Canis lupus familiaris: one gene and its partners. The protein of the gene in region 1 interacts with the protein of each later gene in a pairwise test. Links are inferred from orthologs where the notes say so. Each region holds a gene or a part of one and is shown on either strand. Other genes may lie near its edges.

Region 1 (3,510 bases):
CCGTCCTCCAGACCTGTCGGTGGACAGTCCGGACCTATGTCATCTGTGATGCTGTCAAGAGCTGTTTGGTGGAGTGGTGGGGTCAGGGAGGAGAAGAAGACAGCAAGTCAGACTTGTCTTTGAGAGCTTTGCTGGAAGAGGATCAGATAAATGGGGCAGGAGTTGAAGATGGATGTGGATCCAAAGAATATAGAATTCCTTGAATTGCTCCCGAAAATTGCTGGGGCCATGTCCCTGAGAAGATGAGAGGGAGGATCTCCTAGGTTCATGGGGGCCACAGGCAGCTCATCCAGAAAAGAATGAAGAGCAACGTGTGGATCTCGTCCTGTGTGGTTAAGTTCCCCTCTGAGGGCAGATTCTCCTGGAGCCAAGAGAATCCCTCAGCTCTGGTGCAGCTCCTTCTCCCCAACCCAGGAAACATGCCCTGACCCTGGGGACCTTCCCAGGCCCTCCTGGAGACTTTGCTCTTCTGCTAAAATCATATGCCTGGAGTTTCTTAGACTTCAGAAACACTGAGGAGGGTTAACGCCTTCCACGTTCTAAAACTCCCAAACTCTGGGACCCCTGGCAGACCCTGGAAAGTACGTCCCACCCGCCTTTGGCCTCCAAATCTCTGATGGGGTTGTTAAAAAGGCAGGGTCCCAGAATCCACCGCACACCTGCTAAGGCTGGCCCCTCTCCATCTGTAACCGCTGCAGAGATTCTGTTTGCAGTGTTTCGAAGCTGTGCTCAAGCGCTGTTTTTCCCACTGCAGACTGTGGGCCCAGCTGCACGTCAGAATGACCCGTGGGAGCTCTTATGCTCCCAGTGCCCATGCCCCACCCGGCAGCTGAATTAGGATCTCTGGGGGAGGGGGCTGGACGTCTTTTCAAGTGCCCCGGTGATTCTGAGCGTGCAGCCAGGGTTCAGGACCACTGCTGCGGTTGGCAGTACTTTTTAACTGGAATAGAGTAGGGGCGCTTGACGGACTCTGTCCAAGGAGCGTCCGACTCTCGATCCCAGGGCTGTGAGTTTGAGCCCCATGTAAAAATAAAATCAAAAAAGTAAATAAGTTGGGACGCCTGGGTGGCTCAGCAGTTGAGCATCTGCTTTCAGCTCAGGGTGTGACCCTGGAGTCCTGGGATCGAGTCCCACATCGGGCTCCCTGCATGGAGCCTGCTTCTCCCTCTGCCTGTGTCTCTGCTCCCCCCTCCCCCCGCCCCTGTGTGTCTCATGAATAAATAAATAAAATCTTTAATAAATAATAAATAAATAAAAAGTAAATAAAATTAAATGAACTAGAGTAGAGTAGAAAGCATTAGAGTGTCAGAGCAGTGATGGTAAGAGGCGTTTTATGAGGCCTTTGTTGCGTGTCCACACATGGAGATTTGCATGAACTTGGGGTGGTGCCAGAAAATACATTTTTTAATTGAGAGTTATGGCAAGAAAAGCTTCAACAGCCACTGGTGTAGTTCAGTCTCTTCATTTTGCAGATGGTAAAACTGAGGCCAAGAGAAGTGAGTACAATCAGCCAAGGTTACAGAGCTAGCAAGAAGCAGGCAGGACCAGAAGTCAGGGGTTTTGGGGGCTTTCTTTGTTTGGTTTTGGATTTTTTGAAGATTTATTTGACAGCAAGAGAGAGCGTGCATGCTTGCACAAGCAGGGGGAGTAGGAGAAGGAGAAGATCAGCCCACTTGGGGCTCGATCCCAGGATCATGACCTGAGCCAAAGGCAGATGCTCAACCGACTGAGCCACCAGGCACTCCCTGAAGCCAGGCTTTTGCTTCTCAGGTCTTACCTCCGCGGACCCCATTCGTGCCCACTCAGGACCACTCCTGGGTATTTCTCACTCTCGGGGGTCCCGATGACTGCAGAGTTTGGGGACGTGAGCCCGAGGGAAGAGAGCTAGGTTGGAGGAAGCTTTGTGAGGAGTTGAGACCAACTGCAGTAAGGAGGAGGAAGGTTAGCCCTCGGGAAGAACTTCCCGTTGAAGTTAAGAATAGCTAAAGTCAGTGGTGCGCTGGGCCATAGCTGCAGTGTTTGACGTGGATGACCTCGTTTAATCCTCACGACGCTACAAGGTTAGGTGCTGCCATCATCCCCATGTCCCAGATGAAGAAGCGTAGGCAGAGACGTGAGTGAAGCCAGTGCTCAAAGAACCACTACCAGCAAAAGGTGGGCCAGACCCGGGGCTGGCGCAGGGAAGGCCAGCCGCCAGCTCACTGCCCTGGTGCCCCCACCCTGACCCCTGCAGCCCCAGGAAGGCAAGGTGTGCATGAGACCTGCCCTGCTCTCTCCCCAGGGGACACGTCAGTCCTGGCGGGCGTGTACGGGCCAGCCGAGGTGAAAGTCAGCAAAGAGATCTTCAACAAGGCCACCCTGGAGGTGATCCTGAGGCCGAAGATCGGGCTGCCTGGTAATGGGCGGCAGGAGCTCCACCTTCTTCCCCTCCGCCGTCCCCACCCTCAGCTCTTTGCGCCTTTCCCCGGCTCTTGGCCTCCTGTCTGTCCCCCACCTCCTAGTCTGTCCTCCCTACTCCTCTTTCCTGGCTCCATCTCCCCTTCTTTCCACTAACCTGTTTTTCCACCCGTTTACTCTCCCCCTTACGCTGAGGCTGGGTTCAGCAGCCAGCTGAGAAGTGGGCAGCGGCAGGGGACAGAGGAACTCAGGGTTTTCCTCCCCCAAGAGGCTCCCTTGCTGGATGCTGGAGGGGGCAGGGGTGGGGCGGGGTGGGTCCGGTCAGGCCCTGCCTCCTTCCCACTGGGGGTCCTCTGTCATCCGTGCAGGGTCCTGCACCAGCCCTGGTGGAGATGGCAGGCCCTCTCCAGAGGGCTTGGGTGGGGCGTGTGGAGGAAGGTGAGCCAGATGGAAGGAAGGGAAGAGGCTGACAACCCCACCCCGCCCTGCCCCACCCCTGATTTTCCCCAGGCGTCGCGGAGAAGAGCCGGGAGCGACTGATCAGGAACACGTGTGAAGCAGTGGTATTGGGAACGCTGCACCCCCGCACCTCCATCACTGTGGTGCTGCAGGTCGTCAGTGATGCTGGCTCTGTATCCTTCTCCCCCCAGGCCGCCTCCTCCAGGAAGTCCTCCAGAATCTCCGTGGTGGCCTCCCTTGCTCTGTTAGCCAGGAGGCCTCCGAACACTTGACAGGCACCCTCTTATTGAAGAATAGCAAACCCACTTGAGTGCTCACCACGCGTCGGGCACTGGTCTGAGTGCCTTATACATGTTAACTCACTTCATCCTCACGGCACGACAGTTCGGTGCCACTATAATCCCCCATGGCCCAAATGGGGAAACTAAGGCACAGGAAGGTCAGCTTCTGTCTAATAATGCAGAGCGAGGATTTGAGCCCAAGCCATGTGCTCCCAGAGCCCGAGGCCCCGGGCAGATGGGAGTTCCTATGTTCCCATGTTTGAGGTGAGGAAACAGGCCCCGAGAGGGGAAGTCCCTTACCCAGGGTCACACAGCTGGAAGGCGGCAGGGGCAGAACTCAAGCCCAGGCCTGACTGCCTACAAAACCTGTGCC
Region 2 (4,151 bases), on another chromosome or scaffold:
GAACCAGCACAGTCTTCCAGAGCCTGCCCATCATCTCGCCAGCCTCCTTGAGCCTCGGCACAGGTCAAGGCAGCACAGAGGACAAGTAAACCCTTGGAGCTAGTCTGAGATGGTTTGAGGAGCAGATGGGGCAGCAGAAGTCTTTACCCTGAGGAGCCACATATTTTCTTCCCAAGATTCCTAGGACCCAAGACTTCTGCCAGTGCAGGAGAGTCCCAGGAGCCAGAGGGACAGGATGCACTTCCTTTCTAAAGATTCCAAGCTCCAAAGCAGCTTGCGCCAGTGCTTACTTTGAGCACCACCCACAGTGTGGCTTCAGAAAGTAAAGTAAAAGCAGCTCCAGGAGAGCATGGTATGAGCTGGGGTGGAGGGTACTGGTCAATGTTCCCGGCAGAGTTACCCAGGTCCCAGCGGTTTCCTCACCTTCACCTCTCTTGATCCCCGCCCTGTCCCAAGTTCCTGAAACTGTCACCATTTTTCAGGCTAGAACAACTACAGGATGGCTATTTTTACTTCTTTTTCCTGAAAGGATAGGGCCCAGCCCTATCCCTTCCTTTCTTCCCTACCCACAAGGCTGGAAAAGACCAGATGATAAATCTAAAAACAACTTTTAAGTGATTTGGAAACTGAAACACAGATAGGCATTCACAGGAAGGAGGAGTGAGGAAAGCAGAGGAGGGAAAAGCCAGGTCACCCCTCAGGAGCTAGATTCTATACTATATATACATCTTGGTTTTCTAAGGAATCACTAAAATTCATTCACTGAAAAAAAAAGAGCAAACATTTGCTGCATGTTTACCATGGTCTAGGTAGTGTGTAGACAATATATACATTACTTCATTTAATTCATTCAGCAGTAAAACAAGACTGAGTGCCTACTATGTTAAGCAGTAGGAACAGAGAGATAGATACCAACCTTACCTTTAAGTAAGCAGTTCCAGAAGGTAAGATGCAATAAATAAACTAGGGATAAGAGAATGACTAGGGAGAAGTACTAAGACGGATGGGGGCACAGGAAGCCCTCTTTGGGAAGGTGACATTCCAGCTGAAGTCTGAAAGAGTGTTCTAAACAGATGGAAGAGTAAGTGCAAAGTTTCTCAATCAGACACAAATTTCAGGAACAGAAAGAAGGCCAAGATGTCCAGTACTTAGAAAGAAGAGGGTAGTTGGCTTGATGTAAAATCAGGTAATGCACGGGCCAGTTCACATTAGAGAGTTTGCATTTTAGATTAATTGCAATGGTAATCGATTGGCGGGTTTTAAGCAGGGGAGTGATAGGTCCTGAGTTATTTGCATTTTGAAAAGATCACTCTGCCTGCCCTGTAGAGAATGGACTGTAATGGTGCACGAGAGCAAGCAGGAAGAGTAAAGGAAGCAGCAGTCTAGGCAACTGATGGACGCCTGGCCTGCAGTGTTGGTAATGCAGACAGAAAAAAAGGTGTGATTGCCTCAGCAGTCATCACAGTATGCAAAAGTTTACTGTTGCACATCACCTCCTGCAAGTGCGATCCAGAAGCAGTGCACCGGCTTCCCCAAGTTTACTGCTCTACTATCCCAAACAGTGATTAGCACAATGTCATGCACATCTGAAAGTATTTAATCTATTTCAGTTTGTTAGACTGAAATTGTCCCTGAAAAGATTTAGGTAGCCCTCTAGGAAGACTGTCCAAGGAAGGACCAGAGCGGCTGCTTTCTGAAATGCCAAATTTCTTTGGTGGCTTGTCCTGGAGACTCACTTGCCTCAAGGATGGAGTACGGAGGAGATGAACCTCACCAGCAGATTGTCCAATCCCTAAGTAACACGTGATAGTATGAAATCACCTCACCTTCCCCCACCCACCCCAATGGAGTAAATCCACTCCTTAACAGGTTTTAGCAAGTCCCCTATGCATTTTGAGTCTAGCCCCGATTTCCCCAGGATCAAAGAAAGCAAACATATGTTCCGCCAAAGTAAAGGAACTCAAAGGCTAGGGGGTGGCCAACAGAGCCTACAAAGCAATTGCTTTGAGCCCCTGGATGACGTCAGCTCAGATGCCGACCGCTCAGATTCCTCCCGGGCCAATGGGCTCCAGGAATCTTTGGCAGGTGACGCCCCAGAAAGTAATTCCAGAGAGAATGAAGTTTCCACTGATAGCCTCACTGCAGTTCCTTCCGGACTTTGTGTGTGGGTATTTGGGGATGCCTGGGGCTGAGGGCGTATCCGAGTCTCCCTCAGTGAGGCTAATGGGAACCTAAGCAGAATGAAGGGCAGGACCACAACCACGGCCGTGGAAGAAGGCGGGGTCCTAGAAGACGGACCCATGGGTCCATGACACTCGGTGGGGTGGGTGGGGGGCGGGTGGCCAATCTTGGGTAGAGGAGGCGGATCCAGCAGAAATCCGAGGTGTAAATCTTAGGTTTCGTCCCAAAGGTCTGGAAAGATTAGCGAGACCCAACCTCTCCGTGGTCGGTGGAGTCTTCCCCGGGCCGCACCCCTCCTCACACCGAGAAGCCGACCGATTCTGACACGCACCCCAGTGGAGGACTTGCGCTCTCCATCTCCCCTCCGCCGTCCCACGCCTTCTCCCCAGCCCCGGGTGGGGCTCCTGCCCCTGCTCCTGCTCCAGCCCGCGGCCCGTCCATCCTGTCCCCCAGGGCATCCGCACCCCGCCTCTCACCGTTCCCGGGGGGCACGTCTCCTCTCAGCTGGGTTGCAAGCCGACCCCGTGCCGCCCGGGGCTGTGGCCGCCTGCCCGCCAGCAATCCCGGGCCGTGAGCTCACATCCTCCGCCCGCGGACTCCGCCCTGAGCCGCGGCCCAGCCCCGCCCGCCCCGCCGCCATGCCCAGCACCCAATCACGGGAGAGGGAGGGGCCCCTGGGAGAATTCCGCTGTTGGCGTTCGGCTACTTCCGGCAGCCTTTCCGCCGCAAAGGCCTCTGGATCTTGTAGGCAGCCGTCCCTCCCCACAGGCCCTTTTCCCAGCAGGCTCTGCGGGTTGGGCGGGGTAAGTACTTCCGCAGTCAGGTAATGACGTTACGGGTAAACAGTAGCCGTGGCAGCGGCTGAGGCCGGCGGGCGAGGCACCGGCTGCTGCTGCCCGGGGAGAGAGGCTGCCTGCAGGAAACAGCTCGGGCGGTAGCGCGCCGCCGCTACGGGGTTGCCAGGTAGGCAGCGACTCCGGGCCGGGGGACGCGGGCGGACCCGGGGCGACTGAACCTGACAGGCCGAAAGAAACGTGGGGATTCCGCGCGCGTCTTTGCGAGCGGTGAGACTCCAGCTGGGGCCTGGAGCTTTGCGTGGATGCTCGCAGCGGCCCTGTGACGAAACCGCGGCCCAGAAGTTCGAGGCGTTTCCGTAGTGTGGACAGCCAGCTCCATCACCCAGGTCTTCCTACCTGTGTGCCCGGCGCCCCTTGCCGACTATCCCGCGAATGGCGCCTGCCGGCGGGGCCGGGAATGGGTCTGGGAGAGCCAGGGAGGCGGAGAGTGTCGCCGCCGCCGCCGTCTTCGGGGAGCCCCGCGCGGCTCTGGTGCCCGGTGTTCCTCAGATGCTCAGACACGCACGTGTGGTGGGAGTTGGGAGGGAATCTGATAGTCGGCTGTGAACCCTCTCCCTGCCCTCCTTATCCGGTCTTATCCGTCTCATTCAGCTCTGCCCACCGAACTTAAAAGTTGGCGCTCGAGCCAGATACAGGGGAATCTTGCCTGCCTCTTTCCTTCCCTCATCCCAGACTCCTACATTCAGTCGGGGCTTTACTAATTACATCAGCTTATGTAACATCGCAAATGGGGACGCTTTTCTTCCAAGCCTTGGGTACTGTAATAGCCTTTTCTGTTTCCAGTCATTCATTCCACAGACATTTACTGAGTGCAGGCACCCTGCTAGATGCTAGGGTTACAGCGATGAACAAGGTATGTGTAGCCCCACTCTCTTGTTCCCTCCTCCACCCTGGGTCAGAGTGATGGTTGTAAAAGACACATATGTCTGCCTTTCCTGCTGAGAATTTGCTGGCTGCCCACTACCCTTATGATAAAACCCACGTTCATAACTGTGGCTTTCAGAGCTCTCCATGAACGCTCAGGCCTCCTCATCTAGAGTTACCTCTTCCACATGCCCCCTTGTTCACTGGGTTTTAGCCTTATGGTTCCTGGAATGCATTACATTTCTTTTA
Region 3 (4,304 bases), on another chromosome or scaffold:
AGACTTCAAACTATATGTTACAAATTGCCTTGGCACAGAGATGAATATATTAATAGTATGTGTTAAAATGAATTCGTTAAGAATAAGTAAATAAATAAATAAATAAATAAATAAATAAATAAATAAATAAAATGTATTCTTTGACCCCCAAGCCCATGTTTTTTCCCTTCTGATTCTGAAAGAAGTTAAAACATCTTATCTTTCATGGGCCTCTGAAAGTGCCGTGTCCAAGACATGGAGGCCTCTCTACCTGATGGAGAAAATAGCTTTGCTCCAACCCAGGACTCTGGGCCTCCACAGCACCAGGGCAAAGCCCAAAGCTGGACAGGGACTTGCCCAAGGTCACACAGCAGGCAGTCAGCTGGACCAGGATGCCCCCCATCCTCTGGAAGCGGAGAGGAGTCCTGGGGGGCGGGGGCAGGTGTCTGACAGCCCCAGGTGCTGCCTGGAGATTCTGCTTTCCCAGCACCAATTCCCCAAAACCCACAGCTCTGCGCAGGGTCGAGCATGTGAGCAGGCCCAGGAACAGATAAAACAAGACAGGACTGGAGTCAGCAAAGGCAGAGCTCACTGGCTCTAAGCCACCTGTCCAGAGCCCTGACCTCCTGCTGTGACCTTGGGCCTACCCTGACCTCTGTGCCTCCAGGGTCCTATGAAACAGGCTCTGACATTTTGCTCCTCCTGGACACTAGTGTGTGCATAGTGGGGGGCCAGTCTGAGATTTTTCTCTCCCTTTCCAGTGACTAGCCAGCCTTGTGGCCGCGCTGTTTCAATGACCTGTCCTGTCAGGAGCCTCCTCCCTTCGCCACCGGCCACCAGTGACCTTTACACAATCTGGCTCGACTCTTACAATGGCGCTTCGAGGCAGTGTCTCATCTTGACCATCACCCCAATGGGGAAACTGAGGCACATGCCCCATGTCGCACAGTGACCAGGCTGTCAAGCTCAGTAATTTTTCCATCCTCCGCCACTAGTCTCCTCCCTTTATCATCTCTTTGGCAAACACCTATTGAGCGCCAACTGTGTACCTAACTGGCGGGCTCTAGAGACGCAGCTGGCAACACCCTGGCAGGCTCCCCTCTCTCCTCCCTTCTCCCTGTCAGCTGTGACCTCATTTATGATCGCTAATATTGTAATTAGTATTATAATGACCGTGTCTGTATTTACAGGGCTCCCGTCTTCCCACGTCTCCTCTGATCTTCCAAGGGGGATCCAGCCCATTTCACAGGAGAATATACCGAGGCCCAGGGGGGCAAAGCCACACACGGGAGGAATCAGTTTGAACCTGGTGGTGTTGGACTCCCAGCTCTGAGCTCACCCCTGTGCCCACCGCAGAGTCAGGGGACAGGCTGGCCTGGTGCCTTCCACCTCCTCCTACCCGCCACCCCACCCATGGAACCGGCTCACCCCTGGCGTGGGTGACAATATATGGGTCAGGGTGTGCCCCAGGCAGTCCCACCGGTAAGACGAGGGCGGTGGAGCCCCTATTCCAATGATTGCAGCCGGGTAACATGTTTTACTCTCTGGCAGAACAGCCCTTGCAGCAAGGCCAGAGTGACCACGAATCCATTTTGCAGCACCATAAACTGAGGTTCAGAGGCTAGCAAGGCATGTCAGGGGGTCTCCAAACCCATTGCCCTCTCACCCCCAAACCACATCTTAAGTGAAGTAGGGAGTTATAGTTTGGTATATGGTGGGGTGTGTGGGTTCAGAATCTGTAGAGAATACAGCCTCTCAAGCCCTCATCCCTATTTTCAAAGGAGAAAACCAAGGCTCACAGAGGTGCTGTCACCTGCCCAAGGTCACCAGTGAGGCAGGTCCATCAAAGCTGCCTCCTGGTCCCCACTGCGGCTGGGGCAGGCAACTCCCAGATTTGAGGCAGATGGAGGGGCCGCCCACCCCACAACCCTCCTCCGCACCCCACTCGCAGTCAGCCTCCGGCGAGATCCTAATTTACCTCGATTTATTTTAATCCCAGAGAACAGATGCTGCTGCCCACCCCCCACTGAGGCAGGGACCACCCCCAAGTCCTTGCTTCAGGCCCTCCCAGGCCTGGCCTGGCCCGTCCCAGAGAGGCAAGGCACCCCACACTGACCCCCTCCCCAGAATTCCAACTTTGGGGGTCCCTGCAGAGGATGACAGTGAAACGCCCCCCACCTCATCCTTGCGGTAGGGGACTGGGATAGAACAGTCTAGAGGAGAGGCCCGGGGACCCCCAGCTCCTCCTCCAGGCCCATCACGGTTCACAGTGGAGAAAAAGGGAAGGGGCTTCTTCCATCTTGGTCCTCAGGGGTCTGCAGACCAGAGGTGGAAAGAGGGAAATTGAGCGTGGTCTCCACTTCGGCTGTCTGGGTCCCAGGCTGGAGGGAGAGCGGCGCCCCCATCTTTGCAGCCCTGGAACCTACACCCAGATCCAGGCTTAGAATAAAGGGATTTGGGGAGGGGTCTCACGTCATAGCCACCATCCTGCACGCTCCGGTTCTAGGCCAGGAGACGGGGGACTTGGAGAGGGGTCCCTGTCTCCCTCCGCAGGCCCTGGATGATGGTCTCTGGGAGGCCAGGGGCCCACCGCGCAGCCCCCAACCCCCAGCTCGCCATCCCTCCTGCCCCGCCGCGCCTTTGCCCCCAGTGGCCTCCGGGGCTACCGGGCGCGGTGCGCATGAGGGGCTGCGCGGGCCAGGGGACTCGGGGGGTCCCGAGGACAGCACTCACCTCCCGAGCTCCGGCCGAGCCCCGCGCCCGCCGCCACCTGCGGCTCGGTCTCTGACACCCGAGCCCGCCCCGCCCCTACCTCCGCGGCTGCGGCGCGGCTGCCGCCTGGCTCCGCCCCCGGGGCGTGGCGTCGAGAGTCCCCACCCACCAGACGGCCCCCGGAGGCGGGGGCGGGGCTGGAGCCCGCGCGGCCCGCCATTGGGCCATTTAGGCGGCCGGCTCCGTCAGTCCGGAGAGCTGATTGGCTGATCCAGAGATGAGGCTGCTTTTTTTTTTTTCTCATTACCCCCCACTTCCACCACCCGCAGTGTATTTGCATAAGTTAAAGCAACAGGCTCCTCTCCCGCCACCGGAGACCCAGGGGGAGGGCGAAGGGGTGAGCAGTTTATCGGGGTCCCACCGTGTGCCGGGCACTGAGCGGGGCTCATGTGAGGTCCCCACAGGCTTGCGGGCGGGACGTCATTGATTCCCATTTTACAGATGGAGAAAAACACCGTGGAGGCAGGAACTTGCCAGGAGGCCACACGGCAAGCCCACATCCTTGGGGGCAGTCTCAGGGAGCTGGCCCCAGGACTGGGAAGAGCTATCCCCAAGAATGCTGTCTTGCCACAAATCAGAAAGGCTTTCGTCCCCCACACCTGGGCCCTCATAAAATGAGATGTCAAATGCCCCTTGCCGTTCAACCCTTCATTGAAACACTGGGGTGACCTCCCGCCTCAGGCTTGCTCCCCCATCAGCAACCCCAGCTCAGTAAGGGCAGCTCAGGAGCGTGGGCCAGAGGCCCTGGAGTCTCACAGTCTTCTCTTCCTGACCTCCACGCTGTTCCTACTGGCCCCGTGTCTCTGAAACACCCCACTTCGTCCATTTTTCTTGTTTTTTTAATTTTAAAAAATATTTTATTTATTTATTTATTTATTTATTTATTTATTTATTTATTTATTATTTATTTATTTATTTATTCATGAGAGATACACAGAGAGAGAGACACAGGCAGAGGGAGAAGCAGGCTCCATGCAGGGCCCCCGATGTAGGACTCAATTCCAGGTCTTCAGGATCAGGCCCTGGGCTGAAGGCGGTGCTAAACCGCTGAGCCACTGGGGCTGCCCCTCGTCCATTTTTCTGTATGCCCCGGTGGCAAGAGACCAGGCCTGTAGGCTGCCTCTGCTTCCTACTTGGGTCTCTTGTTGCCTCCACCCCTGCCCCTAACAGTCCCTGCTCCCCTGGCAACTATAGATGTGTTTTTTTGTTTGTTTGTTTATTTGTTTATAATAAATGAGTTATTTTATTATTTTTATTTTATTTTATTTAAAGATTTTATTTGTTCACTCATGAGAGACACACAGAGAGATAGGCAGAAACACAGGCAGAGGGAGAAGCACACTCCATGCCAGGACCCCGATGTGAGACTCTGTCTCAGGACCCCAGGATGGGATCATGACCTGAGCCGAAGGCCGACACTCAACTGCTGAGCCACTCAGGCGTCCCTAAACGATTTATTTTAGAGCTGTTTTCAATCTACGGGTTGTTGTTTTTTTTTTTTTAAGATTTTATTCATTCATTCATGACAGACACACAGAGAGAGAGGCAGAGAC

What was found. The genes of interacting proteins can lie anywhere in the genome.
Region 2: the proteins of EXOSC5 (region 1) and TNFAIP1 interact in binary tests that used the Homo sapiens proteins (3 or more experiments, as listed by UniProt). The two-hybrid records come from large-scale screens. The link is inferred for Canis lupus familiaris from reciprocal best matches to the Homo sapiens genes EXOSC5 and TNFAIP1.
Region 3: the proteins of EXOSC5 (region 1) and FCHO1 interact in binary tests that used the Homo sapiens proteins (3 or more experiments, as listed by UniProt). The two-hybrid records come from large-scale screens. The link is inferred for Canis lupus familiaris from reciprocal best matches to the Homo sapiens genes EXOSC5 and FCHO1.

What each region holds. Positions count from the first base shown.
Region 1 is NC_049222.1:113,387,506-113,391,015, forward strand, and holds part of EXOSC5 (exosome complex component RRP46), read left to right. Parts: intron 1-2,281; coding exon 2,282-2,395; intron 2,396-2,907; coding exon 2,908-3,029; intron 3,030-3,510. UniProt on the Homo sapiens protein: Non-catalytic component of the RNA exosome complex which has 3'->5' exoribonuclease activity and participates in a multitude of cellular RNA processing and degradation events.
Region 2 is NC_049230.1:42,558,339-42,562,489, reverse strand, and holds the start of TNFAIP1 (BTB/POZ domain-containing adapter for CUL3-mediated RhoA degradation protein 2), read right to left. Parts: upstream 2,804-4,151; 5' UTR 2,658-2,803; intron 1-2,657. UniProt on the Homo sapiens protein: Substrate-specific adapter of a BCR (BTB-CUL3-RBX1) E3 ubiquitin-protein ligase complex involved in regulation of cytoskeleton structure.
Region 3 is NC_049241.1:45,538,864-45,543,167, forward strand, and holds the start of FCHO1 (F-BAR domain only protein 1), read right to left. Parts: upstream 2,804-4,304; 5' UTR 2,713-2,803; intron 1,462-2,712; exon of another isoform or gene 1,170-1,461; intron 1-1,169. UniProt on the Homo sapiens protein: Functions in an early step of clathrin-mediated endocytosis. Has both a membrane binding/bending activity and the ability to recruit proteins essential to the formation of functional clathrin-coated pits.